Bombyx mori: one gene and its partner. The protein of the gene in region 2 interacts with the protein of the main gene of each other region in a biochemical or structural test. Links are inferred from orthologs where the notes say so. Each region holds a gene or a part of one and is shown on either strand. Other genes may lie near its edges. The genes, in order: U2 small nuclear ribonucleoprotein auxiliary factor 2 and transcription elongation regulator 1.

Region 1 (16,718 bases), on a different chromosome or scaffold from region 2:
CCGGCTATTATAAATATGTAACCGGTACTGAAAGGCTTGATGTCGCCGCCATCTCACAAATTATCAACTGTATTACTAGATATACTTTAATGTATTTTGGCTCCAGTCACCGTAAGCATTTCGGGCCTCTTTGATGTTGGTTTGTAGAACGACAATAGGGTCTATGAACACAAAGGTAACCGTTGGCCACATTGACATTTTGACAAAGAGCGATCGGATGAAAGCTACGCTCCTCGACCCGGCATACACTACCGATACACACCTGGGCAACCCGAGGGTATGAGTTATGGCGCCATTAACTAGATTGCCTAGAGGCAGAGCTGGGCAGTTTATTGTGAGAGTTGCTGATCATATCACCGGCGACTGTTGATCTGGCGTTCCGTGGTGCGGTTAAGCAATTTACGTGAGCTATCACAATTGTATCTCTGTATATGAATCGGATGCTCAGGTAGAAAAGCGACACAAGGATTATTTAATAGGTTCAACCATACCACAGCCCCAACATGTAGCGGATGATCCATCTATATATTCTAATTCGTTTTAGTGGTAAGCAGCGGCTTGACTGTTTCACCATCAGAATATCTATCTGGTGGACTGCGTGTTCATCTGCATACATGGGTAAAAAAAATACGCAACCAAAAAGGCGCGTCCTGTCTACCCATTTAAACAAAAGTATTCGGAGAACTCGATATAGAGACCATCGATTTAATGAAGTCAGATTTAAGTTTATTTAGTCATAATAATTGTGATCTGTCGAGCGATCTCTTATTAGCCTTGTTCAATTTGTACTAACGTAAGGGGCTCAGTAAAGAGGCACTTGTTATTTGTTTCTTTATCAGTTTATTTTTATAGATGGGAAAATGAGTTCACGGCTCAACTAGTGATAATTAGTTCTCGACACCCATAGATATCAATCAAATGAATCCATCCTGTAATATAAAGAAGAAGTCTCAATTATAAGTTATATGACGGCATACCGACTATAGACTAGACCTACCTTTCAAACCCGAACGCATTACTGCTTCGGTAAAAATAAGTAGGGCGGTGGAACCTACCCGAACGGGACACGAGACACCTTACTACCAGTTGCTACGCAAACTGAATTTTTTGTTGGGTTGTTTTTTATTGCACAATATTATTCCTTCATCGTTGTAGTCGTTCTTGAACACGTGCTATGTATTTCCTTAGATAAATTAACATTTGCCTGTGGGATTTGAACACCGGTATGGTGGTATCGTTTGATACGAATAAGTTAATCGGGCGGCTATGACGAATTCTTTACGTATTGTTCACTTTTGATTTTCTTTGCTATTTTAGTAAGTATACCTAGGTCTAAATCTAACAGTATGGACAAGTAAAAGTTTTTTGGATTCATGTATCAAATACGATCATTTTAAAGGTTTTATTATATTTATTTTATCACTGTAGTATTCTATCAATGAATATACAGAATAATTGAGTCACACAGGATTTCAGAAAGCTTCGTTTTATCTCACAAATGTGAGTAACCAAGTTATCTTATCTAAAGAGATAATAGCTCAACGCTAAAAATGTACATGTTTTTCTGTATTAGTTTATCATAGGTGTTGTTAGTGATTGTGTTTCTCTATTGAGTATTTGTGAAAGAAAAAAAATCAATAAAATGGCACAGAAGAAATCTGTTTTGTTTTACTTCGCTGTGATTTTAGGTACGTATCTAGAGTAAAATTTGTTGTAGTTAAGGACCTAAAGTGAAATGTGTTGCGGAGGGAACATTACTGCATTGTATTTTTTAACTTTTAAGAGTTTGAAAGGAGCTCTTTCCCTAATGTTATATGTGTACTCAACACCCAATTAAATATCTTAGCTTTGACGCCAGGTGACTTAAAAGAGTAATAGCAAATGTTACTTTTGCATCACTATAATATACACGTATCAAGTAGGTACTGTGTTGTTTATACTGCCAGTAACCTACTTAATAGATAAGGAAAAAGGTAGGTACTAAAATCAAGACTTATGAAGGTAATGTACTTAAGTAGTTTGATAATTTACGTATAGACACACATAGATAGATAGATATGTTTGGGAAGAAGAAATGTACCAACCTTTAGTTTGTTGGGGGTTATGACTATCAGTCTGATAAAGCGCATTGATTTTAATTTAATCGTCAGTCTGAATGAATGACATTAAAGGTACGGGGTACTTTACAAATAACGGCTAATCGTGAACATCACACACTTGAAATTAAGTAGGTACCTAGATGATTCAAGAAAAACGGAAACTTGTAGGTGACCATTTTGGTTTTCTATTTTTTTCTCCTACCTAAGCTGATGGTTTAGAGAGACCATATCAGCGTAGCCTGAACTAGTAGGTGAGCTCACGGGGCTCGAACCGGACGATGTTGCTAATACAAACCCTAGCAAGAGCTGTGCTTCGCAGAATCTACCACTAGATCGGAAACGCGACCCACTAAGAAGATCCGGCGAGAAACTCAGTGGGTTAATTTACTCGCCGAGCCCTTCGTCGCAAGCGACGGGTTCGATGAGAATGATGACCGGGGCATTTTGGTCGCGAGTGTATTGGCGAATTTTATTATTAATAGTTTTAGCGGAAAAAAACAAAAGTTAAGAATTTAACAAAAGGGTATGTTTGCCTTGCCAATATGTGCAATAATAAATTATTTTTTATTATTTTTAGTTATTTTGAGTACACTTACACAAGAGGTAGAAGCCAGAAGAAAAATTCTTAGAGGAAGACGTGTTATGACCCGCACTTACTACCGTAAGTTTATCTTCAATATCCTTGCCGGAAATCAGATAAATTCGTTAAATTCCGTAAGTTACCGTATCTTCTGATAGTAGGACGTTTCTGCGAACCTGCACGGTAAGTGCTACTAAGGTACCTACCTAGTTATGAGGTACCTAGCTATTATTTCCGAGAGGCAATTATATCAGTCCGGTTTTGACGGAACAGTCGTTCTACAATAAATTTCAACCTCATATCTTAAGGCAATATCAAGTCACCACTCAGTAACTGATCTGAGGAGGTGATCCGGTTAGCTCGTGCCTATCGAGACGAATAGAAAGTCTTATCTTCAGTAATTATCAAGCCAAAAAACTGGGCAATCGATGATGCCGATGGTATACACCTAATCAGTTATAGAGGTCGCTGAAAGATAGCGTAGCTATTGCGAAAAATACAAATACAAATGCTGTTTTGAATACCCGGGGAGTTTGCGCTCCGAAGACCGAAGTGTGAGCTGCGTTTGATGAACTCAAAAAGTGCAAAGCACCAGGCGCTTTTCACTTTGTCAGTGTCTTGAGCAAATAAGGAACACGACTAGCGAAAAGTTAACTAGATGGCTTCTTTTTGCTATACAAAGAAACCAACAAAACATACTATGCGTTTTATTCAAAACATGGGTCAACTTATATCAAGTAAGTTCATCTTGCGATCCACTATAGAACATCCTTTCTCATCTGCTAGTCATTTCTAGGTCAAAATGTATGAGATGATAACATTTGCCATTCACATATTAATTTCGATTGGTCAGTAGTAGTCACAAAACATTTTCGTCTTGACTTCGTATCAAACTATAGGGCGCTAACATGAAAATAAATTCACAAATTTCTTATATTTTAATTTATTTTATTTTTATAGAGATCGCGTGTTGTGTAGGTTGATTAAAATAATCAATCAACTTGCGTGCTCAAAATTCATTTTATTTTATTACAGGTGGCAATGCGGTTCCCGCGTGGGCAATTAGCTTGATGGCTGGAATTGGAATGTTGATCATCGGTGGCGTCTTATATGTAGTTATGAGGAAACTCGTTCTATCTTCGGAAACGGGTTCACTGAATACTTACCAACCTGCTATGCAGCAAGAAGTATAAAACTACAGTTTTTTTTTTTATAATGTACCTACGTTAAAACGATTCGAATTTGAAACTTTTTAATAAAAACACATGATTCGAGATAAATTTATTTATTCATAGCAGTTACAAACGCGCAATATACTTTTTAGTTAATACTTAACATGTCAGTTGTAGTGAATTGGTGACGAAAAGCATGATGCTCCAATTCACATGCATTTTGATAGATTTAATCTCTGTCGTTTGTTGAATGTGCTACTAGCATGTGTCATGTATAGGTCTTGTGAAAAAAAAAAAACTTTTATTTTCAACAAAACGTGACATTTTCAATTTATAGAACTTGTAAAATTAATTATCAGTCGTAATTGAGTAGATCACAATTAAATCTGTTCATTTGGTAGTTAAGAACTCACTTTTACAATGAATCGTTACAAGCATTTATTTTTAAATTTAATTTGTTCTTATATGTTTTTAATGTAAACTAATGAAAATTAAACTTCTTTCAAAAACAATGTTGAACATTTTCTTACACGCTAGTGCAACAGGACGAAGTTGAAGTGACGGTAAAAAAAATATATCTTTAAAACTCTCTGCGATGATATTTGTCAGGATCGAAGTAGGATGTGACGACGACTCTGTTACTGAACTTGCGTCCTGTGAGCGTCTGCTGCGCTTTCTGGCAATCTGCAATACTGTTGAACTCGACAAATACCTGATAAAAAAAACGTTTTTTAACAAAAAAAATGTGGATTTTATTCGTTTATTCCAGTCTTTTTATTTATTTATTGCTTTGATGGTTGGACGAGCTCACAGCCCACCTGGTGTTAAGTGGTTACTGGAGCCCATAGACATCTACAAAATAATTGCGCCACCCACCTTGAGATATAAGTTGTGAGGTCTCAGTATAGTTACGACGGCTGCCCCACCCTTCAAACCGAAACGCATTACTGCTTCACGGCAGAAATAGGCGGGGTGGTGGTACCTACCCGTGCGGACTCACAACAGGTCCTACCACCAGTAATAAATTCCATAGTCGTATATATGGACCTCTCTTATGTTGGTTTATTACAATGTGAATGTCACCACCTACCTTGAGATATGAGGTATCTATAACATTCAATTGTTTAGTGTATGTACTTAACGACTTTCCTACTAATTCCTAAATGAAAACTTCACGACAGAAATTTAAAGTGTGGCATGTTTATGATAATATGATATTTGAGTTTTGTAGAAATCATCTCATATTATTTCTTATAGCTACATTTATAGACTCGATTATTTCGTATAATTTTATTTTTATTATTTATCTCAGTTTAAAAATATGAGAATATTTTGATGAGCTTGTTATATCAATTTGTACAACTAATTTATTTTGACCTAAAAGTACATAGAAGCAGTAAGACATACTCAATTATGATTTCCAAACCATTAATTTTAAATATAAATATTTACCTTGCCGCATCCAGGTACTTCGACTCCTTCAATTGGTCTTGGAATTTCTATACTACGCACAACACCATATTTGTTGCATTCCTCCCTGAAATACCATATTTTTAGTGAGTCTCATATTCATTTTTTATAGCTAGGAATGTACAGTAATAATTACATTACTAATTCTTTTTTTGTTATTGATTTGATGGGTGGACGAGCCCACGGCCCACCTGACGTTAGGTGGATACCGGAGCCCATAGACAACAACAACGTTAACGCCGCCACACCCATTGAGACATGAGTTTTAAGTCTCAGTTTTTACAGTACAATGGCTGCCCTATTCTTTAAGTCGAAACGCATTACTACTTCACGGCAGAAATGGACAGTATTGTGGGACCTACCTAGGCAGGTAATCACACAAATTGGGATTTTTGCAGGTTTGATTTTATTACTCAATGTTATTTCTTCGCGAATTTTTGTTAAGGTACACAGGTAAAGGTTTTTTTTATTAAAAAAAAATTGATTGAGTATAAAAAAGAGTTCCATTAAAATTGTAAACTATAATTTTCAAAAAGAAAGAAGTCTATGAAAGAAATCATTTTTGTTGTTTCATTTATATGACTTGTACTTATGTTCCATGCAGTAACAATTAAAAAAAAGCTTAAATAAATGTGAATAGTTTATCAGGAAGTTATTCTTATTTCTATTTTATTTATTTATTTTTATTACATTATGAAGAATAATGTGTTATGAAAAACGAAATGCTTTATACACTGCTAAAACTAATATGAAATCTGAATTGTTACTTTACTTATTGGAACTGAGGTACCAATATGAAGATTTAATTTTATATTCTTGTTCTGATTTTGAACATTTTTAGATGAAGTTTAAGTGTGCATTTCATGTATTAGTGCTTGTGTGTGTGACATGTACAAAATGTTACTTACTTTATATCTTCAAGGATATCTTCATACTCCTCTTCATCACGCAATTCATCAGGTGTTACCATGTTAAGAAGGCACAATACTTCAGTAGGTGGACCTGCTCCAGCCAAGGTCAAACCTGCCACTTGGATTTGCACTGGAGCTGCACCGGTCAGTGCTGAAAAGTATCCCATTTCTATTTAAAATCTTTTATAATTTCTATTCTAAAACTAAAACATAGGTCATATTCTGTATTAAAATTTACCTAAAGTTGAATTCTTTGCGCCTATACTGGCACGTTGCACAATCAACTTTTTATCTCCAAGTTGCATTCCATTTAAACCTGCAATAGCCTGTGAAAATAAAATTAATTTATGATTTAAAGTTTTTTTAAAAATTAAATTGGCCTTAACTATGCAAAAGCCAATAAATTAATAAATTGGGTGACATAATGATTATTTACCTGATCTGTCATAGAAATGTCGACATATTCAGCAAAAGCATAGCCTTTGCTCAACCCAGTTGAAGAGTCTTTCACCAAATTGAAGGCCCGGAGTTGACCAAATGACATGAGTAATTCCTTTACCTGTTTCATGACAAAATTAGTGAGCAAATAATAATCTTTTAATTCCCAGCATTGTATTAATTTACGTTACATATTCATAATGATCAGCATAGACATTTCTAATGCTAATGTTTTTTGTATTGTATGTTTGAATTGTTGTGTTCCCATTAAATCTGTTCATCAAAATGCAGCAAATTACATAAGTGAATTATGCTATCTGACCTGTGTCTAGCCGCATGTTAGAATCAGATGTGAATGGAAGAGACTTGCCTTGAAGTGCCGATGTCTCGTTCAAGTACAAGACGTATAGATGAGAATGAGAGACAACAGTGACACGCGGGCCGCGAATGTGCCAAATCTAAGCTAGGGAGGGCAGAAAGCAAACTATATCAGTGAGTTGTTTGAGAACATCCGAGCGTGGTACGCACACGCTCGTCCACGCTACGGGTACCTGAAAATACCTGAAACGGACCAAAACATAACGCGGCTCACTGCTGGCGTCACCGGGGCCTAAGTCCTGTCAACTGTTGAATCTCGGCCTGAAATTGTTGCGGCATCTAGTACGCTATAACTACCTACTGGGAACGAACAAACTCATGGTTCTTTTAATGTCCTAACATTACCTAAAGTAGGATTTTGAAATAACTATTATAGTCCAAAATACTTGAATTTGTCGATCTAAGAGAATTCTATGTTTATCATAACCAACATAATTATTATTTCCATTTTGTCTGGTCAAAACCTGTAACACACAACTCTACAAATCACAATGAGAGAAGAATGTTGTATAATATAACCATTTTTTTATTATCAAAAGGTTTCTTTTAGTGGGAAACATAAATCAACCATAATTTATGTGAATTGAGTTTTCATTTGGTTTAAAAATAAAAACTTTTTGGTAAGTAGTACTTATAAATAATAGCTTAATTTGATCACATCAAAAATACAGAAAATAAGTACCTCTACTTTAATCCAAAAACCATGTGTAGCTTTAAAAAACTCCAAACTTGATTTTGATCATGATGTGATTAAATTATGGTTTCTTGAATGCTTAATTTCAACTATAAATTTTAATAGATAAAACAAGGAACTTACTTGGTCCTCATTTAGATAATTAGGCAATCCCCCTATAAAGATCTTGTGTGGGGAATCAGGTACAACAGTGCTAATAACACCAGCTGTAACAAAATAATATTTGAATGAAGACACTAGTAATGAGTATTTTAGTTGTAATTAATGCTGTTTCAAGAGTTTAAAAAGAGCTGTAGAATTATAACAACAAAATTCAGTTTATTTTAAATATTGCATTTTCTTAATAAAAAATAGCACTTTCAATCGAGTTCAAGACTCATTACTTGATAGATAAATCTATAGTATCTTCTAATGTAGTTTAAATGTATTTTTATAAGAAAAGTTGTTTGTAATAACAATATCACAATATCATAATTACTTACCAGGCACATTTATTGCTGGGTTTTCAGTGCCTGGCATAGGCTGGTAGTCATGTGGACGTCGAATCTTTAAGCTTTGCCCTTTAAAATTAATACCGTCAAAAGCCATTGCCTGTGTCGTTTCATCAATTGATCTGAATTCAAGGAATGCAAAATTTTTATCTAAATTAATCTGGCAAGCCAAAACAGGGTTGCCGGCGGCCTGGGCCAGGCCCGATAGATGCATTTGTTGATTGAAAAACTCCATTGTTTCTTCTTCGGTGACGCCAAAGGGTATGTTGCCGACATATAACCTTCGCGCTTGACGTGTTATAGTCGAACCCACCACCGGCACGGCAGCTTGTGGTGTGTCGGCGACAATATTGGCAGGAATCTGACCCGCCGCTTGCATCGCCTTGTATTGTAATGGCGTGATATGCTCGAATCCCGGCGGCGGTACATCCCAGTAAAGCGAAGGCTTACGTCTACGTGAACGTTTATTGGGCGATCTTGATCTGCTTTTTCTTTTTTCTCTTCGTTCTCTAGATCGAGATCTAGAACGTTTTCTTTCTCGGGATCGAGACCTTCGTCGGCGGTCTGTAATATTTGTGAGCATTTTATTTTATAACCTCACTTCAAAACTTTACAAGATAGATATGTGAACTACTTACCTTTATCTTCCCCCATCTTATTTACGGAAATATGTAATACAGTAACTATTTCTTGAGATAGTAATAAAGGCGCTTCAGCGTTATTAGTATAATTAGCGTTGGCATCAACATAAAATCTAAGTCAGTTTCCGTGAAATGGCGTCTGTTATTTTTTTATACGGACGTTGGTTACTCGACTTTTGGCTAATGATGCTATAGTGAATTTCCTGATACGTAATCATCACTAAAATCCTATGCTTGCCCTAGGACAAATTTCGGACGCGAACGCAGAACTGGTGTTTCCTCAAGTATAAATGTGTAATAATGATAGCTAATTAATCATTGATGTGCCTTTGGAAAACATACAGCATTGTATTATGAAGAAGCAGTGTGTACTTAGCTTAGATTCCTTGTCTATGTCCAACCATAGACAGTCAATTTAGTTCCATCTTTAGCCGCTAGGTGCTGCCAGCAAGTATAAAGGGAGCGCAGCCATCTTTGATCTTCATAGCGTTGTGTACTTTCGTACTGTGAAGTCGCAAGTCCACAAATATTTATTCGACTTCTTATTAATTGCAAAAAATATTTATTTTGTGTTTCTATGAGTGTTATTTTGCAATCATTACGAGTATTATTTACCAATCCTATCATCGGACGCCATGAATCACGCGTCATCTGTTGGAGGTGATGTTGAGTCAAGCTCCATAATTTCCGAGAGGGAAGATGTCCAGGCGAGACGCGATGGAGACGCCTCGCGTTCGAACAGCTCGTCAAGCGAAAAAGAACAAAAGGAGTCTCTGCGTAAGAAACGACGGGATTCAAAGGTAACGGTCGATCTTCGAATCGGCTCGTTATCCCACCAGGTCAGTGACGTTGTAAATCTAATAATGCATCAACTGTGTGTAACAATTGAATGTAACGAAAATTGTTGTAAACAAATTGATCTCGTCAATACGGAAATTTTGACAAAAACACAACAGATTTAAACTAATAATCTTTGTAACATAATTACTGAAAACTTTGACAAATCGTCTCCGTCGTACAAGTTACCCGTAAAAAGCGTTTTAAATTGTATACGGAAAAAAGGGCCGTATGTATAGAAATAAGACGTCAAAGTTTAATTTCCGTGGTCTCTAACAAAGTATCCTGTTGCCAACGCGCCACTCATTGAGGAATTTTTGTTTGATAATAGTAAATTGAAATCTATTCAGTCCCTCGGAGGGCTACAATCCTATTTGTCACGATCTCGTACAAAAGGTAAGCCAAACATTATAAACAATCATAGTCCGTAACATCTGGCACAATCCAGAGGGGGGCAATTGAAGACACCGACGGCACTGAGGCACTGAGTGCCACCAAAATTGTAATAATTTGTAAACCATGTATGGTTACCAAATACCGTAAAAAAAAAAAAAAAAACAACAAAAAAAAAAAAAAAAAAAAAAAAAAAACTACCTTTTTCTGCGGAAGAAAAGCGACGGATCAATGCGTCCAATTTTCGATCTTCGAGAGTTGAACAAGGTCGTAAAGATAAAACACCTGTTTTCGGACACCTAGGTACCAAACTTTCTCCACCCAGGGGACTGGATGATAGAATTGAACATTTCTCAGGAATATTTTTCTAGTATCAGTCGCAAAATTTCGTCGATACTTCTTGAGGATCAGTACCAAGGTACCAGTTCAGTACCTCCAGGAAGGAATCGGTACCTTCTTATGAGTTAGTATGAAATGACATGCCTACCCTTCGGTCTGGCTTCAGAGCCACACCTTTTTGCTTTTATAACATGCGGGTCGCAGAGACCTTGCGTGCAAAGGGAACTCGAGTGCTAGTGTCTACTAGACGACTTCCTTTTTGGTCGACCAAGACAAATCCAAGTTGAAACTTCAGGCTGCAGAAGCTGTGAAGCTTTTGGATTAACCTTTTTTGCTTCCATAACATGCTGGGTCGCAGAGACCTTGCGTGCAAAAGGAACTCGAGTGCTAGCCTACCTAGACGACTTCCTTTTGGTCGACCAAAACAAATCCAAGTTGAAACTTCAGGCTGCAGAAGCTGTGAAGGTTTTGGATTATCTGGGCTGGCATGTCAATTTCCATTATATAGGGTGCTCGGTCGCTCGGTCGCTCGGTCGCGGAGATATTGCGTGCGAAGTCGAGTGCTAGCTTACCTACACGACTTAATCTTGTTTCACCAAGACGAATAAACGTTTTTGTTCCCATAGCATGCTCGGTCGCAGAGACCTTGCGTACATAGGGAAGTCAAATGTTAACGTACCTACGCGACTTTCTCTTGGTCCTTGAAGACAAATACACCTTTTTGCTTCCACAGCATGCTCGGTCGCGGAGGCATTGCGTGCAAAATCGAAGTGCTAGCTTACTTACACGACATGATCTTGTTTCACCTAGCTTACTTACACGACATGATCTTGTTTCACCAAGACAAATAAACGTTTTTGCTCCCATAGCATGCTCGGTCGCGAAGACCTTACGTACATAGGGAAGTCAAATGTTAACCTACCTACGCGACTTTTTCTTGGTCCATGAAGACAAATACACCTTTTTTGCTTGCATAGCATGCTCGGTCGCGGAAACATTGCGTGCAAAGGGATGTTGAGTGTTATCCCACCTACGCAAATCCCACCAGGTCCATCAAAAGAAGTCCAAGTTGAGTCTTCAGGCCACATAGGCTGTAAAGCTCTTGGATTATTTGGGCTGCCAAGTCAGCCTTACAAAAAATCAATTAGTACACTGGTTCAAGAGATGACATGTCTGGGGATTCGATGGAAAATTGCGAGAAATGAAGTGGCCACTCAACAACATCCTAGCTCAAACTCTGACGGTATTACATCACTCTATGTTAACTTGCAAATTTTCTTGCGAAGTTTCAAGAAAAGGGGTAAAAAACAGGCCATCCTGCATGTGTTAACAATTAAATGCAGTGCTGACGCGGAGCCACATGTTAGACATTGCCGATACACAAAACCAACCATTTCCTGGCAACGGAAGCTTCGGACATGTGTAGGGGTTACAAATGCAGTGCTGACGCGGAGCCACATGTCAAACATTGCCGAGACCCAAAACCAACCATTTCCTGGCAACGGAAGCTTCGGACATGGGTAGGGGTTACAGTTAGACAAAATATTAACGTCCTGTCTATGGTCAGCTCAACAACAGAAACGGCTCACCCACAAAAGAGCTATTTGCAATGGTAGTGACAATCAAAATGAATTTGAAAGTATTTCACTAACGTTGACCTTTCGATTTTTAAACCTAAGCAATAAGTTCAAGATAACTGTCAGCTTATAATCTCTCGGGGAGATACAACATCATAGCCGACAGGCTATCACGAGGAAATCAACCTGCGAAATGGCACTTTTTACCACAAGTGACCACAAAAGTTTTTCGAAAGTGGGGTCATCCAGATATAAACCCATTCGCCGACCAAGATTGGATACCTTCAGCAGACCGTAGAGGATGCAACTAGCATGGAGAATTCCTCCTCTCAACCTTCTCCCCAAAGTACTGACTCACTTCAAGTGTCTAGGGAACCTACCTGGTAGTGTTCCCAGACTGAACGAAAGCATTTGGGTTTCCAAGCCCTCAGATCCCGAACGCTAGATAACTCGCACGAAATCCAAAACCTGCCTCCTCCACAGGTTAAACATTAACCCTGAAAGCTTAGAAAGGGGGGGGGGGGGGAGGTTGTACAAATAATACTGGTCTAAACAGGAGAAGATTTATTGAAAATTAGCTGGTGTCAATCCACTTTGTCAGCATACTTACCAGCAACTAGAAGATGGTGCATATGGTGCTACAGTTTTAAAATTGATCCTAAGTCTGCAGATGTTGCCAAATTCTTTCTTCTTTTCCAAAAAGAAAATTTTGCCTATAAAACAATCCTTCTGCATCATAAAGCAGCGCTGTCGACTTTCTGTGGGCGAAATACATGTAGGACACCAAACATTCTCAAGCTCTCTAATAAAAATTGCTATTTTAAAAAAGCCATCGGAATGGCTAAACAAAATTCAACTACTTATTACAATTTTACTAAGTGTAGTCCCATTCACATGAGATCCGAGAATAGTTCTAAACTGGTTTTCTTCAAACCCAGCCACCACATCACGCCTCAATGTAGCTTGAAGGACACCAACAACCATGTTGCTGGCTACGGGACGCAGAGTTAATGACCTTACTTTGCTCAACATTTCTAAAGACAGTTTCTTTGATAACAGAGAAAAACATCTTTCTGATACCAGTCTTTGGGTCTAAAATTGAAATCCATTTTCGTCAATAATCTGCATAAGTGCTTTCTAAACATGAAACTAAAGACATGCCCGGTAAGATTCGTAAGGACTTTTTTCTAACTATGTGTGTTGTCACAAAAGCGGCATCCCGTACTGTAATTGGAAACTGGTCTTCGTTCAACCTTACGAGGTAATGGCATCAACGCATCTCTAAGAAGTTGTAGATCAGCAGTAGCCTCTGAGATGGATTGATAATGAACCAATGGACGAAATACTTTCTAGAGGCAATTGCAAATCATCCAAACGTTTACAATAAATATTGCCGAATAATAGAGCTTCGTAAAAATCCTCACGATTCTTTTTTTCAACACATTTACTTCTACATGATGTATATACATCATTTATACAATTTATACATTTTCTTGTATATAAAAGATAAAATGTTTAAACTTATAAATATTTTTTAATTATTGAATTAACATGGAAGTTAACAACTGTTTTTTCGATTTAATAATTATATAAATTATGAACATTATCATTGCGCTTCATAATTTTATTATGGCTTTACCTATTTCATCATAGCGTTGTGCTTAATAATTTCACCAGCAGATAACAAACACGTCTTCATAATACAATGCTGTATGTTTTCCAAAGGCACATCAATATTACGGTTTTACATAACAATAAAACCGATATTATGTGCCGAGAAGGAAAACATACAGCATTGCAGGAAGTTCTTCCTGGTGAAGACTATGAAGATCAAAGATGGCTGCGCTCCCTTTATACTTGCTGGCAGCACCTAGCGGCTAAAGATGGAACTAAATTGACTGTCTATGGTTGGACATAGACAAGGAATCTAAGCTAAGTACACACTGCTTCTTCATAATACAATGCTGTATGTTTTCCTTCTCGGCACATAATATCGGTTTTATTGTTATGTAAAACCGTAATACTAAGTATTTCTAAAAGTATACTGTGACATGAGAAAAGAGGTATAGTGGCAAGGCTGGCAGATGTGAAACATTGATATTATTTTGTACAGGTATAGATGCATAAAAGGATAGCTTACGACAGGAAATTCTTGTGGCGCAATGAAAATCAAATATTAATATTATGAAACAGTCGCTTGTCCATGGCGACGTGTTGCTACACCTTAAACACTACTACATATAGACTGTAGGTTTAAATAATATTTTATTATACTATCACATCTATGTCACACTAGCAATCGGTTTTATGTGCGGGTATTATATAAAGATGTTTCACATTAAAGCATGCGGAGACTTCATAAACAGAAAACTGCCCAAACCAAGTCAATGCTACCATATCTTATGGCCTCTTGAACAGTTTATAAAATATCCTGCTTTGGGAACATAACTAAGTGTATTTCTACTGTAAGCTATGCTGACAATCTGGGAGTTTACATTGTGGTAAAATTTCTGAATAGGCTGTTGGATCAAACTCAACAAGCCCTTGTGGTATTTGAGCGATGGTTTGACCAGAATCTAAGGCTCAATGACAATAAAACTGTCATAGGTATGCAAATGAAACAATTCATTAACCGGTTCCCACAATAAATTATTTTAACTTTGGGTTGCAATAAGCCAAAACTCTAACAAGTACACCAATGGAATTTTGTAAATTGCAGAAGCACAAACATTAACTGAATGTTTTGTGGTAGAAATAGGCAGGATGGTATATTCTTATGGTATACATATATATAATATACTAGATGAAACGAAAAAAAATACAGGAATGTTTTTCTGCGTGTTTTTAAAAATTATATAGTTATCTATTGTTAATCTATTGTTATCTATTTGTAAATCTGGTAATTCTATTGTTAATCTCAACAATCTTGGAAAACTAACTCATCTGGGCTAAAACATTCTGTAATCAGTGGCCGTAAACAAATTCTAAAAACAAAAACGAAGCTGCCTGCCACTCATTACTCAACCAATCATAATTGACTTTGAAATTTTATTTGTTTGAATGTGCTAAGACCATGGAGTTAATAAGTACCTACAACTGGAGTGCTGTCTAATGCCGAGAAATCGGTCTCGAAAGAGAATACTTTTTGGTCGCGGTGTCCTTGTCTAATGTGGTGACCATATATAATTTAATTATAGGACAAAATTATACACATGCATCAGTTTTGAATTTACCTTAAGTAATTCTGTGTAACCCTATGTAAATACAAAACACGTGCTTGCAACCTTTTATTTATGTAAATTCAATTCTAAACATTGCTTCGTCGTCATGGTGACTTTTTTTCGACGGTTTTTTTTTGGAAATTGCTGCGTTGTCGAAAATCTAGCACTGAGTTTTATTACATTTATTACATTATTACAAACATCATTACCTCAGTTCTATTACTTAAACTTCCTCAAACTCATGTTTAACGTCCGAATACTCAACCGCGACTTAAATAATATATTATGTTGAACTTAATGACGCAATTCCTACTTTAATGTACTGGCTAAGTGGGCCGTGCAAATTAATATTTGACACACTGAGTGAGACACTGCAACACACATGGTCTGCGCGTATCGGGTGCTCTTTTCCTACATTCACATCTTCAATTGATTTAAAATTGCTTGTATTTTTACTTCTGTGCTATTTTCATGACACGTGTATATTAAGTCTACTAGTTACATTTTAGGAAATAAAACACAATGGGTAATAAAATGAAATGAACTGAAATTCATTTATTTGTTATATGTAGACAATTAAATAACTCTTAAATGACAAGTCAATACACATAACACGATACACATAGTACTTGATCTCTATTTACAAAATGTTGGTTATACATATTATTATTATTAAGTTCAGTTAATTTTCTGTAGTCTTATAATATAACATTTCCTCTATTTTAAGTAAATTCTTTTTTTTCAACGAAATACATATTTTATTTTAATCAATATCTAAGTGGACCATGAGTATCATTAAAATTTCGCAATTTAAATTTCAATTCAATTAAAAATCGCCATTTTTCTTTAATAAATCTAAAATCGACTTTATATTTACAATCACTATTTCGCGACTTTTAAGTTTTTGTTTCAATACCTTAACATCTTGTCGTAATTTTGCTTTTCTCGGGGTATTTTTTATTTCTTGCGTTTGAGTACTTGATTCTTCTTGTTTGACCTTTATATAGGAAAATTTCCAGAAATTCCAACGTCATATTTACTAGAAGATCCTACTCGTTCGCTTAACGTCAGGCAAATGATATACATGTTTGCGTGCGACGCTATTCAATACAATAAAAAAAGTTCAAAAAATACCACGTGATGGCTCTTATAATATGAAAAAGACATTGCAAAATTATAGTTTTCACGATTGTTTTTTCAAATTTAGTATATGACATAGATTAAGTACAGTTTACAAGACAAATGGTATTAAATATTATAATGAGAAAAAATATCTCACATTTTAAAAATATATGCTCACACTAGTAAAAATTTATCAATGAATCTGACATATGGAAGGATATTCCACAAACTTCTCGCTTAAAACCACTTACATTAAAAGTGTTCACCATGATTACACGGAAACTTTCACGATTTTCGAAAAAAAACAAGCCACAAGCTGTATCAGTGCCATTTTAACTTCGCACTACAAACGTAA
Region 2 (16,220 bases):
GCTTGTGTGTCTGTTAGCTGCAGTCAGTGGGAGAGTGAGTGAGGGGGGAGGAACAGATATGTGGAGAGGGGTGTAGCTTGTGTGTCTGTTAGCTGCAGTCAGTGGGAGAGTGAGTGAGGGGGGAGGAACAGATATGTGGAGAGGGGTGTAGCTTGTGTGTCTGTTAGCTGCAGTCAGTGGGAGAGTGAGTGAGGGGGGAGGAACAGATATGTGGAGGGGTGTAGCTTGTGTGTCTGTTAGCTGCAGTCAGTGGGAGAGTGAGTGAGGAGGGAGGAACAGATATGTGGAGAGGGGTGTAGCTTGTGTGTGTGTTAGCTGCAGTCAGTGGGAGAGTGAGTGAGGGGGGAGGAACAGATATGTGGAGGGGTGTAGCTTGTGTGTCTGTTAGCTGCAGTCAGTGGGAGAGTGAGTGAGGAGGGAGGAACAGATATGTGGAGAGGGGTGTAGCTTGTGTGTGTGTTAGCTGCAGTCAGTGGGAGAGTGAGTGAGGGGGGAGGAACAGATATGTGGAGAGGGGTGTAGCTTGTGTGTCTGTTAGCTGCAGTCAGTGGGAGAGTGAGTGAGGGGGGAGGAACAGATATGTGGAGAGGGGTGTAGCTTGTGTGTCTGTTAGCTGCAGTCAGTGGGAGAGTGAGTGAGGGGGGAGGAACAGATATGTGGAGGGGTGTAGCTTGTGTGTCTGTTAGCTGCAGTCAGTGGGAGAGTGAGTGAGGAGGGAGGAACAGATATGTGGAGAGGGGTGTAGCTTGTGTGTCTGTTAGCTGCAGTCAGTGGGAGAGTGAGTGAGGGGGGAGGAACAGATATGTGGAGGGGTGTAGCTTGTGTGTCTGTTAGCTGCAGTCAGTGGGAGAGTGAGTGAGGGGGGAGGAACAGATATGTGGAGGGGTGTAGCTTGTGTGTCTGTTAGCTGCAGTCAGTGGGAGAGTGAGTGAGGAGGGAGGAACAGATATGTGGAGAGGGGTGTAGCTTGTGTGTGTGTTAGCTGCAGTCAGTGGGAGAGTGAGTGAGGGGGGAGGAACAGATATGTGGAGAGGGGTGTAGCTTGTGTGTCTGTTAGCTGCAGTCAGTGGGAGAGTGAGTGAGGGGGGAGGAACAGATATGTGGAGAGGGGTGTAGCTTGTGTGTCTGTTAGCTGCAGTCAGTGGGAGAGTGAGTGAGGGGGGAGGAACAGATATGTGGAGAGGGGTGTAGCTTGTGTGTCTGTTAGCTGCAGTCAGTGGGAGAGTGAGTGAGGGGGGAGGAACAGATATGTGGAGAGGGGTGTAGCTTGTGTGTCTGTTAGCTGCAGTCAGTGGGAGAGTGAGTGAGGGGGGAGGAACAGATATGTGGAGGGGTGTAGCTTGTGTGTCTGTTAGCTGCAGTCAGTGGGAGAGTGAGTGAGGAGGGAGGAACAGATATGTGGAGAGGGGTGTAGCTTGTGTGTCTGTTAGCTGCAGTCAGTGGGAGAGTGAGTGAGGGGGGAGGAACAGATATGTGGAGAGGGGTGTAGCTTGTGTGTCTGTTAGCTGCAGTCAGTGGGAGAGTGAGTGAGGGGGGAGGAACAGATATGTGGAGAGGGGTGTAGCTTGTGTGTCTGTTAGCTGCAGTCAGTGGGAGAGTGAGTGAGGGGGGAGGAACAGATATGTGGAGAGGGGTGTAGCTTGTGTGTCTGTTAGCTGCAGTCAGTGGGAGAGTGAGTGAGGGGGGAGGAACAGATATGTGGAGGGGTGTAGCTTGTGTGTCTGTTAGCTGCAGTCAGTGGGAGAGTGAGTGAGGAGGGAGGAACAGATATGTGGAGAGGGGTGTAGCTTGTGTGTCTGTTAGCTGCAGTCAGTGGGAGAGTGAGTGAGGGGGGAGGAACAGATATGTGGAGAGGGGTGTAGCTTGTGTGTCTGTTAGCTGCAGTCAGTGGGAGAGTGAGTGAGGGGGGAGGAACAGATATGTGGAGAGGGGTGTAGCTTGTGTGTCTGTTAGCTGCAGTCAGTGGGAGAGTGAGTGAGGAGGGAGGAACAGATATGTGGAGAGGGGTGTAGCTTGTGTGTCTGTTAGCTGCAGTCAGTGGGAGAGTGAGTGAGGGGGGAGGAACAGATATGTGGAGGGGTGTAGCTTGTGTGTCTGTTAGCTGCAGTCAGTGGGAGAGTGAGTGAGGGGGGAGGAACAGATATGTGGAGGGGTGTAGCTTGTGTGTCTGTTAGCTGCAGTCAGTGGGAGAGTGAGTGAGGAGGGAGGAACAGATATGTGGAGAGGGGTGTAGCTTGTGTGTCTGTTAGCTGCAGTCAGTGGGAGAGTGAGTGAGGGGGGAGGAACAGATATGTGGAGAGGGGTGTAGCTTGTGTGTCTGTTAGCTGCAGTCAGTGGGAGAGTGAGTGAGGGGGGAGGAACAGATATGTGGAGGGGTGTAGCTTGTGTGTCTGTTAGCTGCAGTCAGTGGGAGAGTGAGTGAGGGGGGAGGAACAGATATGTGGAGGGGTGTAGCTTGTGTGTCTGTTAGCTGCAGTCAGTGGGAGAGTGAGTGAGGAGGGAGGAACAGATATGTGGAGAGGGGTGTAGCTTGTGTGTCTGTTAGCTGCAGTCAGTGGGAGAGTGAGTGAGGAGGGAGGAACAGATATGTGGAGAGGGGTGTAGCTTGTGTGTCTGTTAGCTGCAGTCAGTGGGAGAGTGAGTGAGGAGGGAGGAACAGATATGTGGAGAGGGGTGTAGCTTGTGTGTCTGTTAGCTGCAGTCAGTGGGAGAGTGAGTGAGGAGGGAGGAACAGATATGTGGAGAGGGGTGTAGCTTGTGTGTCTGTTAGCTGCAGTCAGTGGGAGAGTGAGTGAGGGGGGAGGAACAGATATGTGGAGAGGGGTGTAGCTTGTGTGTCTGTTAGCTGCAGTCAGTGGGAGAGTGAGTGAGGGGGGAGGAACAGATATGTGGAGAGGGGTGTAGCTTGTGTGTCTGTTAGCTGCAGTCAGTGGGAGAGTGAGTGAGGAGGGAGGAACAGATATGTGGAGAGGGGTGTAGCTTGTGTGTCTGTTAGCTGCAGTCAGTGGGAGAGTGAGTGAGGGGGGAGGAACAGATATGTGGAGGGGTGTAGCTTGTGTGTCTGTTAGCTGCAGTCAGTGGGAGAGTGAGTGAGGAGGGAGGAACAGATATGTGGAGAGGGGTGTAGCTTGTGTGTGTGTTAGCTGCAGTCAGTGGGAGAGTGAGTGAGGGGGGAGGAACAGATATGTGGAGAGGGGTGTAGCTTGTGTGTCTGTTAGCTGCAGTCAGTGGGAGAGTGAGTGAGGGGGGAGGAACAGATATGTGGAGAGGGGTGTAGCTTGTGTGTCTGTTAGCTGCAGTCAGTGGGAGAGTGAGTGAGGGGGGAGGAACAGATATGTGGAGAGGGGTGTAGCTTGTGTGTCTGTTAGCTGCAGTCAGTGGGAGAGTGAGTGAGGGGGGAGGAACAGATATGTGGAGAGGGGTGTAGCTTGTGTGTCTGTTAGCTGCAGTCAGTGGGAGAGTGAGTGAGGGGGGAGGAACAGATATGTGGAGGGGTGTAGCTTGTGTGTCTGTTAGCTGCAGTCAGTGGGAGAGTGAGTGAGGAGGGAGGAACAGATATGTGGAGAGGGGTGTAGCTTGTGTGTCTGTTAGCTGCAGTCAGTGGGAGAGTGAGTGAGGGGGGAGGAACAGATATGTGGAGAGGGGTGTAGCTTGTGTGTCTGTTAGCTGCAGTCAGTGGGAGAGTGAGTGAGGGGGGAGGAACAGATATGTGGAGAGGGGTGTAGCTTGTGTGTCTGTTAGCTGCAGTCAGTGGGAGAGTGAGTGAGGGGGGAGGAACAGATATGTGGAGAGGGGTGTAGCTTGTGTGTCTGTTAGCTGCAGTCAGTGGGAGAGTGAGTGAGGGGGGAGGAACAGATATGTGGAGGGGTGTAGCTTGTGTGTCTGTTAGCTGCAGTCAGTGGGAGAGTGAGTGAGGAGGGAGGAACAGATATGTGGAGAGGGGTGTAGCTTGTGTGTCTGTTAGCTGCAGTCAGTGGGAGAGTGAGTGAGGGGGGAGGAACAGATATGTGGAGAGGGGTGTAGCTTGTGTGTCTGTTAGCTGCAGTCAGTGGGAGAGTGAGTGAGGGGGGAGGAACAGATATGTGGAGAGGGGTGTAGCTTGTGTGTCTGTTAGCTGCAGTCAGTGGGAGAGTGAGTGAGGGGGGAGGAACAGATATGTGGAGGGGTGTAGCTTGTGTGTCTGTTAGCTGCAGTCAGTGGGAGAGTGAGTGAGGAGGGAGGAACAGATATGTGGAGGGGTGTAGCTTGTGTGTCTGTTAGCTGCAGTCAGTGGGAGAGTGAGTGAGGAGGGAGGAACAGATATGTGGAGAGGGGTGTAGCTTGTGTGTGTGTTAGCTGCAGTCAGTGGGAGAGTGAGTGAGGGGGGAGGAACAGATATGTGGAGAGGGGTGTAGCTTGTGTGTCTGTTAGCTGCAGTCAGTGGGAGAGTGAGTGAGGAGGGAGGAACAGATATGTGGAGAGGGGTGTAGCTTGTGTGTCTGTTAGCTGCAGTCAGTGGGAGAGTGAGTGAGGAGGGAGGAACAGATATGTGGAGAGGGGTGTAGCTTGTGTGTCTGTTAGCTGCAGTCAGTGGGAGAGTGAGTGAGGAGGGAGGAACAGATATGTGGAGAGGGGTGTAGCTTGTGTGTCTGTTAGCTGCAGTCAGTGGGAGAGTGAGTGAGGGGGGAGGAACAGATATGTGGAGAGGGGTGTAGCTTGTGTGTCTGTTAGCTGCAGTCAGTGGGAGAGTGAGTGAGGGGGGAGGAACAGATATGTGGAGAGGGGTGTAGCTTGTGTGTCTGTTAGCTGCAGTCAGTGGGAGAGTGAGTGAGGAGGGAGGAACAGATATGTGGAGAGGGGTGTAGCTTGTGTGTCTGTTAGCTGCAGTCAGTGGGAGAGTGAGTGAGGGGGGAGGAACAGATATGTGGAGGGGTGTAGCTTGTGTGTCTGTTAGCTGCAGTCAGTGGGAGAGTGAGTGAGGAGGGAGGAACAGATATGTGGAGAGGGGTGTAGCTTGTGTGTGTGTTAGCTGCAGTCAGTGGGAGAGTGAGTGAGGGGGGAGGAACAGATATGTGGAGAGGGGTGTAGCTTGTGTGTCTGTTAGCTGCAGTCAGTGGGAGAGTGAGTGAGGGGGGAGGAACAGATATGTGGAGAGGGGTGTAGCTTGTGTGTCTGTTAGCTGCAGTCAGTGGGAGAGTGAGTGAGGGGGGAGGAACAGATATGTGGAGAGGGGTGTAGCTTGTGTGTCTGTTAGCTGCAGTCAGTGGGAGAGTGAGTGAGGGGGGAGGAACAGATATGTGGAGAGGGGTGTAGCTTGTGTGTCTGTTAGCTGCAGTCAGTGGGAGAGTGAGTGAGGGGGGAGGAACAGATATGTGGAGGGGTGTAGCTTGTGTGTCTGTTAGCTGCAGTCAGTGGGAGAGTGAGTGAGGAGGGAGGAACAGATATGTGGAGAGGGGTGTAGCTTGTGTGTCTGTTAGCTGCAGTCAGTGGGAGAGTGAGTGAGGGGGGAGGAACAGATATGTGGAGAGGGGTGTAGCTTGTGTGTCTGTTAGCTGCAGTCAGTGGGAGAGTGAGTGAGGGGGGAGGAACAGATATGTGGAGAGGGGTGTAGCTTGTGTGTCTGTTAGCTGCAGTCAGTGGGAGAGTGAGTGAGGGGGGAGGAACAGATATGTGGAGAGGGGTGTAGCTTGTGTGTCTGTTAGCTGCAGTCAGTGGGAGAGTGAGTGAGGGGGGAGGAACAGATATGTGGAGGGGTGTAGCTTGTGTGTCTGTTAGCTGCAGTCAGTGGGAGAGTGAGTGAGGAGGGAGGAACAGATATGTGGAGAGGGGTGTAGCTTGTGTGTCTGTTAGCTGCAGTCAGTGGGAGAGTGAGTGAGGGGGGAGGAACAGATATGTGGAGAGGGGTGTAGCTTGTGTGTCTGTTAGCTGCAGTCAGTGGGAGAGTGAGTGAGGGGGGAGGAACAGATATGTGGAGAGGGGTGTAGCTTGTGTGTCTGTTAGCTGCAGTCAGTGGGAGAGTGAGTGAGGGGGGAGGAACAGATATGTGGAGGGGTGTAGCTTGTGTGTCTGTTAGCTGCAGTCAGTGGGAGAGTGAGTGAGGAGGGAGGAACAGATATGTGGAGAGGGGTGTAGCTTGTGTGTCTGTTAGCTGCAGTCAGTGGGAGAGTGAGTGAGGGGGGAGGAACAGATATGTGGAGAGGGGTGTAGCTTGTGTGTCTGTTAGCTGCAGTCAGTGGGAGAGTGAGTGAGGGGGGAGGAACAGATATGTGGAGGGGTGTAGCTTGTGTGTCTGTTAGCTGCAGTCAGTGGGAGAGTGAGTGAGGGGGGAGGAACAGATATGTGGAGGGGTGTAGCTTGTGTGTCTGTTAGCTGCAGTCAGTGGGAGAGTGAGTGAGGAGGGAGGAACAGATATGTGGAGAGGGGTGTAGCTTGTGTGTCTGTTAGCTGCAGTCAGTGGGAGAGTGAGTGAGGGGGGAGGAACAGATATGTGGAGAGGGGTGTAGCTTGTGTGTCTGTTAGCTGCAGTCAGTGGGAGAGTGAGTGAGGGGGGAGGAACAGATATGTGGAGAGGGGTGTAGCTTGTGTGTCTGTTAGCTGCAGTCAGTGGGAGAGTGAGTGAGGGGGGAGGAACAGATATGTGGAGGGGTGTAGCTTGTGTGTCTGTTAGCTGCAGTCAGTGGGAGAGTGAGTGAGGAGGGAGGAACAGATATGTGGAGAGGGGTGTAGCTTGTGTGTCTGTTAGCTGCAGTCAGTGGGAGAGTGAGTGAGGGGGGAGGAACAGATATGTGGAGAGGGGTGTAGCTTGTGTGTCTGTTAGCTGCAGTCAGTGGGAGAGTGAGTGAGGGGGGAGGAACAGATATGTGGAGGGGTGTAGCTTGTGTGTCTGTTAGCTGCAGTCAGTGGGAGAGTGAGTGAGGAGGGAGGAACAGATATGTGGAGAGGGGTGTAGCTTGTGTGTCTGTTAGCTGCAGTCAGTGGGAGAGTGAGTGAGGGGGGAGGAACAGATATGTGGAGAGGGGTGTAGCTTGTGTGTCTGTTAGCTGCAGTCAGTGGGAGAGTGAGTGAGGGGGGAGGAACAGATATGTGGAGAGGGGTGTAGCTTGTGTGTCTGTTAGCTGCAGTCAGTGGGAGAGTGAGTGAGGGGGGAGGAACAGATATGTGGAGAGGGGTGTAGCTTGTGTGTCTGTTAGCTGCAGTCAGTGGGAGAGTGAGTGAGGGGGGAGGAACAGATATGTGGAGGGGTGTAGCTTGTGCGTCTGTTAGCTGCAGTGAACTAAAGTGCGAGTGTGGCGGTTGTATGGACACTTTGCCTACTCACCCACTATTTTGCTGGGATCTATTTCTATATTAGGATATTTCTCGCCCTTCTCGGCGGCTATCAAGGATTTTATATCTGCAGACAAATTAACGAATTTATGTTATTCACAAAAGCAACGTATTGCACAACCAAACCAAAAGCCTTCAAATTAAATATCCAAGAAACTGTGACGACGGATGTACAGAAAGCGGGCGGCCGCCAGTGGCATTGCAGTATGTGAACGCGTGTTGGGTACATAGCTACTTCAGTAATGAGCGCTCATTAAAAAATATTTTTATAGACTAAATTAAGAAACCAATTTTAAAAATTTCTTAAATGTTCAGTGTATTTTTGTTTTTTTAATAGTGGAGATAAAATTTAGTCACTTGGTATGGGGATGTCATCATAAAGAAAGAGAAGTCGGTGCCTCAATAAGTTAACCCGTGGCATGGTGCCCCTTGCAATGTCACCTGTTTATTTTATAAATTATTTTGTACAGCCCAAGTACTATCCCTCTGTAAGGCTGCTCAGATTTCGAAATGTTGCATACCGCATTAAGTGCTCAAATGGGGACTAACTTCACGCTTTGAGATTAAAAAACTTTTCGTTTTCATTCAAAGCAATAAACATGATGACAAGAAATACGACACCGGGTATCCCATAGAGGGTAGATCAAGCCGAAAACTGTAGCTAGTGTTCTACTATTAATGTTAATACTACTAATAATGTATTTGCCGGAAAAATGAGTTCAAGTAAATGGTTCCGGAACAGAGAGCACTTGAACATAACAAACAACTATTGCTCCATAGAACCTTGAATTATGTTATCACAAGGTACCGTAAAGTCAAATATAAGGCTGGCAACAAAACAGTAAAAAATGCAACTATTTTTATTGCTTTGATCGAGCATAGGCGGTAGGCAGCGGCTTGGCTCTGCCCCTGGCATTGCTGAAGTTCATGGGCGACGGTAACCATTCACCATCAGGTGGGCCGTATGCTCGTCTGCCTACAAAGGCAATAAAAAAAAATATAGCTCACATAGTATTGAGTGGTTATCGAACCCCATAGACGACAACATAAATGCCTTCGCCCAACTTGAGACATGAATTCTAAGCCACAGTAGTACAACGGTTGCCCCACTCTTCAAACGAAAAGCATTATTGCTTCACGACAGAAATAACAGAGTAGCGGTACCTGCCCGTGTGGGTTCACACCAGGAAGTAACCGTATATGTATATATTGATCATACGAATTGAGTGCACACACTGAATATGCGGTTCTTTGACAAATGGGATTCCTGTGGTATCGCTTGCATTGAGCTCTCACGGCACGTGATGAACAATCTATATCTTCTAGGTCGACGTTACATAAGTGATAATTACTTTTCATCTAACAAAGATTTATATCTGTCAACAAAGTCCGCACACAAACAAGTGACGTTCTCTTGTTAGTCCGCACGGGTTCTATTTCTGCCGTGAAGCAGTAATGCGTTTCAGTTTGAAGGGTGGGGCAGCCGTTGTAACTGGAGACCCTTAGAACTTATCAAGGTGGGTGGCGCATTTACGTTATAAATGTCTATGGGCTCCAGTAACCACTTAACACCAGGTGAGCTGTGAGCTCGTCTATCCATTAAAGCAACAAAAATAAAAGCGTGAACTACTGTTCCCTAAACGAGTAGCACGTCGCGTACCGTCGAGTTCCTTGAGCACTGCGGGCTTCTCCCAGACGCTCTCCTGCTTGCTGGCGTTGTAGTAGTAGGGGCGGCCGTCCGGCGCCTTGTGGCTCGTCCACTCCGCCGCCAGCTCCAGCAGCTTGGGCGAGATCACCTGCAAGCCACAAGCATCGTTAGCTCACGAACGCTAACGGTTCGAGGGCGACTTCCAGTGAAGGAATAACATCGTGTAATAAAAATCAAACCCGCAAAATTATAATTTGCATAATCACTGGTGGTAAAACCTCTTGTGAGTCCGCATCCGTACCACCGGTACACATCGGTACCACCACCCCGCCTATTTCTGTCTGCCGTGAAGCAGTAATGCGTTTCGGTTTGAAGGGCGGGGCAGCCTTCGTAACTCTACTGAGACCTTAGAGCTTATATCTCAAGGTGGGTGACGTGGCATTTATGTTACCGATGTCTTTAAGCTTCGGTAACCACTTAACGCCAGGTGAGCTGTGAGCTCGTCCATCCATCAAAGCAATAAAAAAAAAAGACGTAAGTAATGTGTATACGAACGGTTTCCTTCTTGGGCATGGGCACGGTGGGCGGCGCCCGGGGCTGCTCTGCGGGCTCGCACTGCGGCGCGGCGCCGCTGCTAGGCCACGCGCCCGGGGCCGCTTCGGGGTTGCTGGGGTTGTTCACGGCGGGAGGCCAGCCCCAGGCCGGCCAGCCCGGGGGCCCGTATGACTCTCCCTGCTGGTATGCGTTGTAACCTGTGGATACAGTTCAGTTTTATTACAAACTAGCGACCCGCCCTCGCTTCGCTTCGGAAACTGTAATTTATTATTGATATCTCCACTATTTAATGGATGTTATTATACATATAAACCTTCCTCTTCAATCACTCTATCTATTAAAAAAAAACGCATCAAAATCCGTTGCGTAGTTTTAAAGATTTAAAGCATACATAGGTTTTTTTTTTTTATTGCCCTTGTAGGCAGACGAGCATACGGCCCACCTGATGGTGAGTGGTTACCGTCGCCCATGAACTTCAGCAATACCAGGGGAAGAGCCAAGCCGCTTAGAATAGGGACAGAGAAAGCGACTTTGTTTTATACTATGTAGTGATACTCATTTAAAGTCTGGCACAACATGAGCCACCGTATTCATCATAATAGACAGTTCACATTGTCCGTGCACTGTAAGCTACTTTTCCCCAAAATTAAAATACAAATTGACATTCAATACCCCGCACCTAACATACATTCAATGAAAAAAGTAACAAGAATGGATAATTTTATTTATATTTGTGATTGTGATAAAATATATTTAATTGAACAACTAACATTTTGTGTACTGTAGATGTTACCCCGGTAGTGTTTGTGAACAAACTGTGTTACTGGTGGTAGGACCTCTTGTGAGTCCGCACGGGTGGGTACCACCGCCCTGCCTATTTCTGCCCTGAAGCAGTAATGCATTCCGGTTTGAAGGGCGGGGCAGCCGTTGTAACTATAGTTGAGATCTTAGAACTTATATCTCAAGGTGGGTGGCGCATTTACGTTGTAGATGTCCATGGGCTCCAGTAACCACTTTACACCAGGTGGGCTGTGAGCTCGTCCACCTATCTAAGCAATAAAAAATTAAAAAAACATTTTATGAAACAACAAACTATTTTTCACTGCATTTTAAAGATGTGGTTTTTACTTTTTACTCTGTCAGTTATAAAGTCAATCAATAAATACAAAAGTAACAAGTGTGAATTGTACTACGCTGACCATTGGTTTGCTGCTGTCCAGGGACTGCTTCTCCCGGTGGCATTTCATCGTTATCAGTCATACTGCTCACTACAGACTCAGAGGCTTTGTCTTTATCTGAAATTTAATTTAGTATTTTTTATCTATATACATAAAAATGAATTGCTGTTCATTAATTTCACTAAAACTCGAGACTCGGCTGGACAGATTCGGCTAATTTTGATCTTGAATTATTTGTGGAAGTCCAGAGAAGGTTTAAAAGGTAGATAAATATGAGAATGCTCGGAATTAAATAAAAATAACAATTTCGTTTTTCCTTTGATGTGTCCCCTGTCGGACGAATTCCTTTTGTTTGTTTTAAGTTTATTTTATACAAAGATTTAGGTCTTTTATTTCTCGGTTGAGGCACTACAAAGTCTGCCGGGTCAGCTAGTTTATTATATAGATTGGATTACAGACGCAATGTTTGTATTACATACTTATTTCAGTTTTCATGAGTGGCATCTTTAGTAAATAAATATGAACTATGTATAGTATAAGTGTGGTATATTGGAGATGGAAGTCTCTCACCGTCCTTCCCCCAGGGCGGCGGCCCCATGTACTGGTGCTGCGCGCCGGGCAGCATCATGCCGTTGGGCATCACGAGCGGCGCCTGGCCCATGGGACCGTTCATGCCGACCCCTTGTGCCGATATTTGGGGGATTTGTCCTGCAACAACATATCGTTACTGACGCGCACCACGCACACCCGATCGCTTATGGAAATCAGCAACACCAAAGGCACAACAAAGATAGGACCTCTTGTGAGTCGGCACGAGTAGGTACCACCACCCCGCCTGCTTTTGCAGTGAAGCAGTAATGCGTTTCGGTTTCAAGGGTAGGGCAGCCGTTGTAACTATACTGAGGCATTAGAACTCATATCTCAAGGTGGGTGGCAGCATTTACATTGTAGATGTTTATGGCCTCCGGTAACCACTTAACACCAGGTGGGCTGTGAGCTCGACCACCCATTTGTGATAAAAAAAAAAACAAAGTTGAATAGTATAGTATGGTGGCTGCAATCCGTAGAACTGGGACAGTGGGGAAACATGGGTGTGCTTACTGCCCATAACACAGCGGAAAATAGAATCACTTAAGACTGTTAAATTTTTCTTAAAAATTTTTTTTTAGACGTTTTGTGAAAGTAGTATTGTATTGCCTTTGTAGACAATCAAGTATAATAATATACAATACATAAAGACATTCTGATGGTGAAGGGTCACCACAAAAAATTTACTATCCAAAATACCGTTTGTTTTATTACCAGTTTAAAATATTTTTGGTCAGTCAATAATTTTATTTAAACAGTCCAATAATAATTTATCTTCTATGGGTTGGTGCCACCTCAGCATTTAGACAGATAATGTTTTCTATACTGAATTTTACAAGGCAGGATCAATACAGAAATAATCAATATCACAACAATTGAGCTCCTCAGCCATCGCATACTCCAAGTGATTCGTTGACTCCATGATGCTTTATTCACACAGAGTGGACTGTGAGCTTGACTAATTTTTAATGAAATAAAATTAAATCTGCTGTATCTGCACCTTATTTTCTTATTTATTTATTTTTTGTTACTCTTGTAGGCAGACGAGCGTACGGCCCACCTGATGGTGAGTGGTTACCGTTGCGCATGGACTTCAGCAATGCCAGGGGCAGAGCCAAACCTCTGCCTAACTGAACCTTCTCCCCCAGTTCATCCTGATGAGCCAATCAAGTCTACAATTCTTAGGGAATGTCATTGTCGGACAACTGGCTGCTCATAAAACAATAAGCCAATCAAAACTGGATCATTGATACAAGCTGCATTCTCCAATATTTTATTGAGGCACCTAGGGGGATAACAGGCAAGAGAAGGTTGTAACAGGCTACCGACCTGAAGCTACCAGTATCTCCATCTCACCGTGTGTGATGACCTTGCAGTTCGGTCCCTCCACTGGCCTGGTCCATGTAGTTTCCCGGGACCGAGCATGGTAATAGTATGATTTGCCTTCATCTGTCTTCGTTTCCACCCATACTTCAGGGTTCTGCAAATAAACACAAAATACATTTGTAAGGGATGGAATTACAATTCTCCAATTACATGATCATCCTACTTTTCAAATTAGAACACTGATTCTAACAAAGTAGAAGTGGCCGTCCACACAGTTCACTTCAATTAAACTAACTACTAGTTCAACTATCATCACCTACAATTGCAATCCATATGGGCATATCTATATCTATACTAACATATAAATCTACAGTGGTTTTTACGGATATTCAATTATAACTACTGAACCATGCATCCGATTAACTTGAAACTTGGTATCCATGTATTAAATACATGCACTTAATAGATAGGCTAATATTTATATGAGTGTTGGACTCCCTACACCAATTACGGGGGCGTTAATGATGAGCTTCTTTTTGCAGGTGAGAAATAATAATGTTAATTTTAAATGCCCAGTGAATCAGACCGATACAGTTAGTCCTTCATAAACATTGAACTCTGATGTTCAGTTGTAGACAAAAGAGTCACATAGCAGATGCTTCCAATGTGCGGGGTGCACTCTTCATTATATCCATCATTAAAATAGTAGTTCTAAATGTAGTACATATTTTTAGTGATTTTGTTTAAAAGTATTGATTAGATATTGTTTTCCAATCAGGTCTCTTTCAATGGTTTATGTTGTGTATCACATATTCAACACAATCAAAGAATACTTATAAAGCAGAAAATAATATCTTTGATATCGACTTACCATACCAGGGGGCGGCATACCAGGTGGTCCTCCATATGGGGGCTGATTCATCATATTAGGAGGGGGACCCATCGGCCCCCCGGGAGGCATCATGCCGGGAGGGGGGCCGAAGGGCGGCGGACACATCATGTTGGGAGGCGGGGGACCCATCGGTCCCCAATTGTTGTCGAAATTCGGTCCATTGGGTCCGAAACGGGGTCCGCCCCGTCCTCTGAAGAAGCCTCGTCCGCGCATTGGAGGTCCTGTGGGTCCGTAGCCGCGTCCACGAAATCGCATAGGCGGCGGCGGACCGTTCATCCAACCAGGCGGGGGGCCGCGACCACGGCTTCTATAACAATGGCATGTTAACAATAAACTGAAACGACAACCGCAACATTTGGAAACCCTATTCGGCCAACAAGGCCATCATAAACTTTGTCTTTTTCATCTACAATTGTATAATATGTACTCCACAAATGTTCACGATTGACTTCCGCGGTGCAGGAATAACATCGTGCAATAAAAATCAAACCCGCAAAATTTTTATTTGCGTAATTACTGGTGGTAGGACCTCTTGTGAGTCCGCGCGGGTAGGTACCAGCACCCTGCCTATTTCTGCCGTGAAGCAGTAATGCGTTTCGGTTTGCAGGGCGGGGTAGCCGTTGTAACTATACTGAGACCTTGGAACTTATATCTCAAGGTGGGTGGCGCATTTACGTTGTAGATGTCTATGGGCTCCGGTAACCACTTAATACCAGATAGGCTGTGAGCTCGTCCAACATAAAAGCAATAAAAAATTAAAAAAAAAATAAAAATAGTTGTATGCGAGACAACATCCATATGTACTGAACAGAATGAAATTAAGATTAAATCTTTTTACTCATGATATACAGGTATAAAAAATTGTTTGTTTTCTGCAACAATCCTGATAGGTTGATTTTAATGTGCTGGATTAAATGTGCTTCAATGTATTTGTATGGTTGATGTAACAATACTCAAATACAGTAGTAACGATATTGAAAAAGAAAATATCCTAATTTGACCTCCATTTGTTATGTACTTAGGCCAAAGAAGCTCTGTTTTACTTAATTGTTCCTTTATAAGTCAGTAGTGTGACTTTTAAAATGGTGATTTTTTAAATTCATATAATGTGGAGTTATAGTCTGAAGTGAAGCTAAATCCTTGTATCACAAAGGACATTGCAGCATTGACCCAGTATTTTTTATATTTTATTATGTTAGGTCTCACCCATGTATTGGTACTAAGATTCTATTTTCTACAAATTGTTCCAAATTATTATCGGCATCCTGGACAAGCAGACAACCTATGAGATATCATATCAGGTAGACTCTATGTAGCTGATCATCACCCCAAATTACCAAGAAGTAAGTACATGTATAAAGACCTGATCCAGTATATGCAGGCCCCCCTAGCATACATATTGCAATACATAAGCACAGCAAATTGTTTGTCATTATTCAATCCAGTCAATTGAGCTAGTCCATTCGCAATTACATATTACGTCTTGGTGGGAACACACTGCTCAATTGCAAGATTCTTAAAACTTATGTTTGAAGGTGGGTCGGTTACATGTCGCTGCGTCCAGTTCTGTGATAGAATTAAGTATGATATTTAATCACATGAAATTTTCCAATCAAATGATCTTATCTTATCTATGTACTTGAGATCTGAATGCATTACATGCCAATTAAAAAAGTAATTGTATACTATCAATAAATCTTCATTTCAAACATTTACCAAAAGACTTTTTTCTACCTATACTAGTAACCCCGAGGGGTTATACTAGATTCTCCAGGTGAGTAATCCAAAACACACTGCACGTGTATCTTTTTTAAATTCATGTGAATAACATAAACATATTCCTTTAAGGATAATAATGATAATCTTATTCGAAATAATCAAAAAACAGTGGCAGCATGAGTTGAACAAAGGGAACTTTATTTCTAAATCACAAATATGAACATTAACAGAAATATTGGAATACTAGCTGACCCGGCAGATTTCGTAGTGCCTCAATCGATAAATAAGACCTAAACTTTTGTATAAAATAAACTTAAAACAAACAAAAGGAATCCGTCTGACAGGGGACACACCAAAGAAAAAACAAAATTGTCATTTGGAGCATGTTCATATTTATCTATTCTTACATATTTATCCTTTTAAACCTTCTCTGGACTTCCACAAATAATTCAAGACCTAAATTAGCCAAATCGGTCCAGCCATTCTCGAGTTTTAGCGAGACTAACAAACAGCAATTCATTTTTATATATATAGATTAAGATCACTATTAGTTTTTTTTACTTCTCTGACTAGTTTACTTATAGTTTTGTATGGGTAATACTCTATTCACTTCTGCTCAAAAACAGTCATGATTTAAAGAGTGGGACTGTTATTCTCATGTCTCATGAAGACAGCAATGTGTCCATTAATCACTTCATACCAGATAGACTACAAGCTCCTGGCTACATAGGGTGCATCGTATCATCCTTTTCACCCTCTAGCAAAACTTTTATGCTGCACATAATTATCATTAAAGTTTTATAACATCACCATTATTAAAGATGTAAAAAATACCCACCTTCTTCATACATATCAAATTTAATTTTTATTGAAGTCTGAGTTAATAAGAATGTTATACAGCAAGCTGGAAGAGGGTTGCTTCTGCTCTGATAAATAAGTAGTCATCTCTTGAATCAGCATTCATTCACAGTAATTGCTGCATTAAACTATCTTTATTACTATTAATATT

What was found.
Region 1: the proteins of transcription elongation regulator 1 (region 2) and U2 small nuclear ribonucleoprotein auxiliary factor 2 form a complex in vitro, tested with the Homo sapiens proteins (2 studies listed by BioGRID). The link is inferred for Bombyx mori from reciprocal best matches to the Homo sapiens genes TCERG1 and U2AF2.

Annotation. Positions count from the first base shown.
Region 1 is NC_085123.1:10,721,265-10,737,982, reverse strand, and holds U2 small nuclear ribonucleoprotein auxiliary factor 2, read right to left. Parts: upstream 9,013-16,718; 5' UTR 8,888-9,012; coding exon 8,872-8,887; intron 8,798-8,871; coding exon 8,225-8,797; intron 7,949-8,224; coding exon 7,866-7,948; intron 6,792-7,865; coding exon 6,669-6,791; intron 6,559-6,668; coding exon 6,471-6,558; intron 6,384-6,470; coding exon 6,230-6,383; intron 5,389-6,229; coding exon 5,304-5,388; intron 4,564-5,303; coding exon 4,432-4,563; 3' UTR 3,717-4,431; exon of another isoform or gene 3,715-3,716; intron 2,763-3,714; 3' UTR 2,671-2,762; intron 1,689-2,670; exon of another isoform or gene 1,683-1,688; 3' UTR 1,538-1,682; downstream 1-1,537. UniProt on the Homo sapiens protein: Plays a role in pre-mRNA splicing and 3'-end processing. By recruiting PRPF19 and the PRP19C/Prp19 complex/NTC/Nineteen complex to the RNA polymerase II C-terminal domain (CTD), and thereby pre-mRNA, may couple transcription to splicing.
Region 2 is NC_085130.1:19,193,879-19,210,098, forward strand, and holds part of transcription elongation regulator 1, read right to left. Parts: intron 13,800-16,220; coding exon 13,472-13,799; intron 12,755-13,471; coding exon 12,604-12,754; intron 11,395-12,603; coding exon 11,257-11,394; intron 10,804-11,256; coding exon 10,708-10,803; intron 9,706-10,707; coding exon 9,509-9,705; intron 9,102-9,508; coding exon 8,966-9,101; intron 7,373-8,965; coding exon 7,298-7,372; intron 1-7,297. UniProt on the Homo sapiens protein: Transcription factor that binds RNA polymerase II and inhibits the elongation of transcripts from target promoters. Regulates transcription elongation in a TATA box-dependent manner.